Linked DNA regions of Macaca fascicularis. The protein of the gene in region 1 purifies or fractionates together with the protein of each later gene. This does not show direct contact. Links are inferred from orthologs where the notes say so. Each region holds a gene or a part of one and is shown on either strand. Other genes may lie near its edges.

Evidence for each region. Proteins that work in one complex are often made in the same cells at the same time.
Region 2: the proteins of HMGXB4 (region 1) and SMARCA5 purify together in Homo sapiens (affinity purification with mass spectrometry; 3 studies listed by BioGRID and IntAct, with this or other methods). This does not show direct contact. The link is inferred for Macaca fascicularis from reciprocal best matches to the Homo sapiens genes HMGXB4 and SMARCA5.

What each region holds. Positions count from the first base shown.
Region 1 is NC_088384.1:16,408,434-16,412,088, reverse strand, and holds part of HMGXB4 (HMG domain-containing protein 4), read left to right. Parts: intron 1-1,983; 5' UTR 1,984-2,051; coding exon 2,052-2,082; intron 2,083-2,745; coding exon 2,746-2,894; intron 2,895-3,462; coding exon 3,463-3,541; intron 3,542-3,648; exon of another isoform or gene 3,649-3,655. UniProt on the Homo sapiens protein: Negatively regulates Wnt/beta-catenin signaling during development.
Region 2 is NC_088379.1:148,651,787-148,655,441, reverse strand, and holds part of SMARCA5 (SWI/SNF-related matrix-associated actin-dependent regulator of chromatin subfamily A member 5), read right to left. Parts: intron 1,105-3,655; coding exon 956-1,104; intron 763-955; coding exon 643-762; intron 1-642. UniProt on the Homo sapiens protein: ATPase that possesses intrinsic ATP-dependent nucleosome-remodeling activity.

The DNA of each region.
Region 1 (3,655 bases):
GTATATTTTTCTTATACACTCAGTATTTTAGTGCCTTTGAGAGGGTATGCTGTTTTCAAATAAATGGATATAATTCCCTATATTTCCCTTGTCCTACCTGCACCCCTTTTGGAGTCAGCACCACTTGGGTGGAAAGGGGAGGACAGTAGTTTCCACTGAGAAACTTTCATCCTTAAATGCTGGAACATGAAAAACTGGCTACATTATGTATCTTGCCTCCTCACATTTTTATCTGAGGCCTGACCTTATGTCCCCTTCGTTTCCTGTGAAAAGGCCCTTCGAACAGGCAGTTCTCCAGTTTATCTTTAAAACAATCCAGTTAATGTAGTTTCATTACTCTAGCTTCTGTTACTTTGACCAAATCCATTCTTTATTTCACTTCTCAGAGAAGTGAAGAAATGCTTTATGTTTCTTTTCTTATAAATCGTTCTTCGTAATGCTTCATTTTCCTATTCAGGCCTACCTGTACATTGTATTTTATCTGATTTGTGCAAATAAGTCTTTTTAATGTAACTTATGAAAGCTTCCCTTGTTAATCAAATTCATCTTTTCTTTCACAAAAGTTCCATGCTTCAGTATTGTCCACAGTTGCCTGAAGGAATTAGTAATGTGTCATTTAAGTGTCCTTCAGTATTTCTAAGTCCCCTTATAATAATGAAGGTCAAATTAAATTTAAATAAATGATCAATTAGATTAACTTTGTAAGCATCTGACTTAACTGGATGAGAACATTGCCAAAATATTTAATATGTAATTTTAAATTTCCTGAAGGACTTGTGACATTACTTGTTCTTAAAACTTTTAAAGAACTTTACCTTGGCTGGGCACGATGGCTCACACCTGTAATCCCAGCACTTTGGGAGGCTGAGGCGGGTGGATCATGAGGTCAAGAGTTCAAGACCAGCCTGGCCAAGATGGTGAAACCCCCATCTCTACTAAAAATACATAAATTAGCTGGGCGTGGTGGCAGGTGCTTGTAATCCCAGCTACTGGGGAGGCTGAGGCAGGAGAATCACTTGAACCTGGGAGGCAGAAGTTGCAGTGTGCCGAAACTGCCACTGCACTCCAGCCTGGGCAACAGAGCAAGACTGTCTCAAAAAAAAAGAAAAAAAAAAAAAAAAACTTACAGTGCATTTTATAGCATTGTTATCGTCAAAGTCAAAATGGACATATAAACTCAAATGCCAAAAAAAGATTGTAAAAATTCAATAAAACTCAATACAATATCTAGAACATTTAAATTATAGCAATTCTTATTAGTGAAGATCTTATTAATCATAAAAGTTTTATGACCAGTGGACAAATGATAAATATCTCCATTTTCACCTAGCCTTTAAGAAAGCCTTGGTGGTGGTGACAGCTGTCACATGGTCAACTGATGTAAGGAGTGTACCTGCTTTTACAATTACATAAATTTGAACAAATTCATGTAACCCCCCCCCAAAATGCAAAAGAAATTATGCTCTAAAGATATTTAATATTCCTATACAGTTAATCATTTCTGTTTAAATTACAATGCAATAGATGTTACCAGTTCACCAATCCAGTTGGTAGGATTTTATGGTCTTCAAATGTTTGGTGTGATCTGTCTTCTCTGCATCTTGCTTTACCTGTGTATTTTATAACCAAGATTGAACCTATCCCTCTAACTTAATGTTGGTTTCTACCCTGTCTCAGTGTTGTCAGTCCTGTTGGCATTTCAGAAATTCTCATTAATTTTGAAAATATTTTTTGTATTGGAGGTATTTTATATACTTCCCCAAATGACAACTTTAATTCATGACTGAAATCTAATTAAGCCTAGTGTACTTCCTGCAGTATCAACCCCACTATATTTACAAAGAGAATGAGGAGGTGACAAGACACTCCTTTATTTCTTGCTGCCCTTCCAGTCGGCCCTTGGATCACTACACATTTCCATCTGGAAGGTTGCTTCTCCTCTGATTTCGCATTACAGGAGGGTTTTCCTTCTTTGTTTCTCAGACCTGGTCCTGTAGACGGGAAGGAGCCTGGACACAGTGACACATTCTCAAAGGCCCTGCAGGACCACCATGGCTTATGATGACTCCGTGAAGAAAGAAGGTATGACCCCATAATCTGAGAAGCATTCCAAAGGGGGTATCCTCTTCAATCCTTGCAGCCCATGGATATAGAGACCAGGACTGGGCACCACAGCCTGGACTCCCAAGTGATGGTCTAGAGCACTGTTATGACACTCAGCCTCCACGCCATCCCCAGACTGGGCCCATGGAAACGAAAACCAGGACAGGGGTTCCAACACGAGAGTCTGAAATATGAGTCTCTTAGTTTATTGGGGTGATCCCCTGCAGCACTCTTGGTCCTTGCCAGCTCCAGTGTGCAGGAGTCTGGGGATAGGAATCACATCCTGGACTCCCACAGAGAGCAGCACAGCACATGAATCATGAATCCTTATTCTTTTCAGCCTTTCGTCTGCAAGTCTGTGTCCACCTACCAAATCACAACTAAGAAATCATATCTGAGGTCGCACATGGGGCCTTTGCATAGCGTGGAAACATTGTTTCTTCAGGTTTGATTCTTGTATTTGCAGCCAGGTCATCAAGAAATATTCTGTTCCCCTGGGTCTAGCCCTGTATTTCAGTGGACTTGATTGAAACATTGTTTTAATTTGGAAATAGAGGAACTGTTGCATTACCTGCATGGTGATTTGGTCGTTACTTACTTGACTTTCTCATTTCCTTTCCCAAATAAACCTGTGCTTCTCAGATTGTTTTGATGGTGATCATACCTTTGAGGACATAGGACTTGCAGCTGGCCGAAGCCAACGAGAGAAAAAACGTTCTTACAAAGATTTTTTAAGGGAAGAGGAAGAAATTGCTGCTCAGGTCAGGAATTCTTCCAAGAAGAAGTTGAAGGTAAGTCCTAAAAATTTAAATTAGGAAAGTCTTAAACTACCTTTTTTTTTTTTTTTTTTTTTCTGATGCAGAGGGTTTTTTTGCTCTTGTGGCCCAGGCTGGAGTGCAGTGGCGTGATCTCTGCTCACTGCAACCTCCACCTTCCGGGTTCAAGCGATTCTCTTGCCTCAGCCTCCCGAGTCGCTGGGATTAACAGGTTCCTGCCACCAAGCCCGGCCAATTTTTGTATTTTATTAGAGACAGGGTTTCACCATGTTGGCCAGGCAGGTCTCAAACTCCTGACCTCAAATGATCCACCTGCCTCAGCCTCCCAAAGTGCTAGGATTACAGGCCTGAACCACTGCACCAGGAAAGTCTTAAACTACTTCTTACCATATTTCCTAATATTTGAAGAAGGAAGTGTTTTTTAATAACTTTAGAAAAGAAAAATAAAATGTTGTGTGCATCTGTTTTTATTATTTCTTGTGCTTTGTTTCCCAAAGTCAGAAATCATCAAAGACAAGAGTGGTTCCAAACTGCATTTGCCTCATCATCTTATTATTGGTCAATTCTTCTTCTTTAATTATAGGATAGCGAACTTTACTTCTTGGGGACGGACACACACAAGAAGAAGAGGAAGCACTCCTCTGATGATTACTACTATGGAGGTGAGGATGGGAATGGGCAACAGGTGGGATAAACACATCGCTGGTTCTTGGAGTCGGGGTAGGGGAAAGGGATCCAGATGTTGCTGACTCAGTGGCCTATTTAACAGGACAGTG
Region 2 (3,655 bases), on another chromosome or scaffold:
GTGGGGAATATGATACTTTGCTCAATATTATGTATATAATTAACACATGAGACAGTGTCCAGTCAACAGTGTAAGCATTCAGTATTTCTTGCTTAAAGGAACAACTGTTAAATGAGGGAGAAACGCTACTGACTGTTTCGTATAAATCTAAACTAGGAGAAAAGTGTAGACACAAATTAGCCTAGAAAAAATTCTGAAGATATAGACCTAAATGTTAACACGAAAAACATTGGGTAGAATTATTTTTTTCTTATACTCTATCGGTATTTTTCAATTTATCTCTATATTACCAAGTATTACTTACGAAGTTAGGAAAATTTTCCGTTTATTACCAGCCACTTCTGCTGTTTAAAATAAAATGAATCAGGTTGCCATCCCACATTACTATTCATCTCATACAAGAATATATTTCACTGTAAACATACACCACAAACTTCATTACAAAAACTTTAAAAATATTTCAGAGCTTCCCAACTGAAAAACTGGCATTAAATTTTACATAATGATGAAAATATTCAGATGTGAATAAGCAAAAATGACTGCTGTTTTAAGCAAAATTACAAGACATTACAGTAACACTTAAAATTCCAGGTTTCCAGTAAAATAAAGCTTTCATGTAACCCAAACCTATTTCTAAATTACCTTTTGTTTTTCCCTATAGTCTTCTCCTTCGAAGTTATAAACACTCGACTCTGTATCCATTGTAAAGTTTCTAAGTGAGCTTTCGCCCATCTTGGAGAGCTTTTCATTCATCTCTGCAGTCTAGAGAACAAAACAATCAACTTCTTAGATTCACAACAAAGAAAGCATGAAACCTGCAGTCAAAATAAATTAACTTCAGGTACACAAAAGCTTTTTTGTTAGGGAAATAAAATTATTTATCAATGTAACAAATATTTCCTGTTTCTGGTCTAAAACATTCTATATTAAAAGCATTATTTAATCTACATCTCACCTTCTTTGCACCTCTTTCCAAAATACCATCAATATCTTCATCAGTGATCTCACTTTCCTTTGAAGCAAACACATGTGTTGCCCCATGTCTAATCATTTGAAGCATTTCATCTTTCCCAATTTTGTTCAGATTCTGATCCACAAGCCTCCCTGAAAAAAGATTGTGTTGTATAATGTTAACTGAACAGACTTTATTTTACTGGAAACTTGAAATTCTAAATGTAAGGTTTAATGCCTTATAATTCTGTCTCAAATGTCAATCATTTCTGTTTACTGTTTATTCACATCTGATAATTTTCATTTTTGCACTAAATTTAATGCCAAATTTTCAGTTGGTAAGCTACAAAACATTCCTAAAGCTGATATATTATATAATGAACCCTACTGTATACTGTGTCAATGAAATATCTTTTGTGAAAGCTGCATATGATGAAGTTTTCAAAAACCTACAAGTTTCAACAGATGGAAGCATTATGTATTACACAAGTTTCTGATGAGCAGAAAGGTGTTATTACTAATACTCCTCAAATCAGCTTTTTCTCCTTAGAAAAGTGAAAAATCCTTCCCACAGGCCAAACTTTACACAGAACTGAAATATGTAACATCAGTTTCTTTTTAAAGAAAACTTCCAGAAGAACTGGAACTCCTAAAAACTTATTTTATTTGTTTATTTCTTTGAGATGCAGTCTTGCTCTGTTGCTTAGGCTGGAGTGCAATGACAGGACCATAGTCACTGCAGCCTTCAACTCCCTGCTCAAGCCATCCTCCTATCTCAGCTTCCCAAGTAGCTAGGACTAAAGGCATGCACTACCACACCTGGTGAGAAAATGTATCTGGATCATCAAAGAAACTCATCATTAATAAATTACTAAAGATTTTCAGTTGGCAGGAATTTGGACAACCTTGTAATTTGTGTTTTCAAAAATACAGACATAAAAACAAAAACAAAAACCCAGAAAGACTTGTTTTCACCCACCTCAAGGGTCACTCACATACATCTAAACAAAGCTTTGATTTTTATACGCCAACCAACTTGTAATTAAGTGGAAAAAGATCCAAGTTTTCAACAACTTCTTTAAATACTTGTATCATGGTTTGGGGCCCATAACAGAATATACAACCAAACATCTGTGACTTTGAAAGTGAGGCAATATCCAGAAAGTACGTTTCTTTGGATTGGATGCTGCCATTGCTACCAAAATGGTCTCATGCTTATACAAGCTACTTCCAAGTTGGGCAGAGAGGGAACCTTCAGATGTAAAGTGCTTGTGTACTCTCATTTTCAATTATGTTCCTCAAATAAAAAACAGTAACACAGAGGTATGTACTTAAGGCTTGCTGTTTGACTAACATGTCTACAAATGGCACAAGAAAGCTATTAGCCTGAAGGTTTGCTCCAAAAATTGCCACAGTAAATATGAAGTAAAAAACCTCAAGATTTCTAAATTTATGAATCAATTAAGGTTTTTTAATCTTTAAAAAAAAAGTGTTTCAGACAGGCGTGGTGGCTCACACCTGTAATCCAGCACTTTGGGAGGCTGAGGTGGATCACCTGAGGTCAGGAGTTTGAGACCAGCCTGGCCAACAAAGTGAAACCCTGTCTCTACTAAAAATACAAAAAAATTAGCCAAGCACCACTGGTGGTGGGCATCTGTAAACCCAGCTACTCAGGAGGCTGAGGCAGGAGAATTGCTTGAACCCAGGAAGTGGAGGTTGCAGTGAGCCAAGATCGTGCCATTGCACTCCAGCCTGAGTAACAAGAGCAAAACTCCACCTCAAAAAAAAGTGTTTAATGGATGAAAATAACTGAGAACAAGAAGCACATGGCAGGTGTTTTTCAAAACACACAGATGTGTGAAGAAAAATAAAACATTAGCCATTTTATCACCCATGAGATAACCTCATGGGTTGGTAGCCTCGAGAAGCCCCCAAAGGCCTTCCTAATTAAATACTTAATAGTTAACAAAGTTCTTGGTCCCCTTGAGTCACTTCCCAGCTGTATGTACAATGAACAAGTAATTTAACCTCTCAAAAGCCTTTACCTCTGATGCTAACATCTCAAGTTGGCATGAAGACTAAAGGAGAAAATGAAATGTTCACACTGCCTGGCACAAAGTAAACACTTTATTAACGGAAACAATTTGTAAAAATAAGCAATAATTTATTGTCTTTAGGTATGCAATAGCATTAGGGATACCAAAGACATGAAAAATACTCTCTTACATGGAAATAAGAGACTGACAAAATCAAGACACCTACATAATCAGTAAACAATGTAACAATATGCCTTTCAGCTTTTTAGACAGATAGTAAATATATGCTCACAATGCAGTTACAAAGGAAACTAATGAACATTTGAAGTTATTAAGTTTCCCACCCCTTTTCTTGAATTTTATATTTCCCATCATCAACTTTACAGTAAGTTTCATGAAAACATAAACTATGTCATCCTTAAAAGTTGATCTGGAATGAGAACTTAAGTTTCCTTCAATCGATTCAAAATAAAATCCCACTCTCACCCCCTACTCCTACTTATACCTTGTTTACTTCATCTGCCCTCCCAACTAAATTGTAAACTCTTTTAAAGTAAGAATACTTGAATGTTCCATTTACCACTGAATTCTCAACACCAAGAACAGTGCCTAGCATCTGGTGGGTACTCAATAAGTTGCAGACAAGAAAAAAGAATAAAATCAGGCTC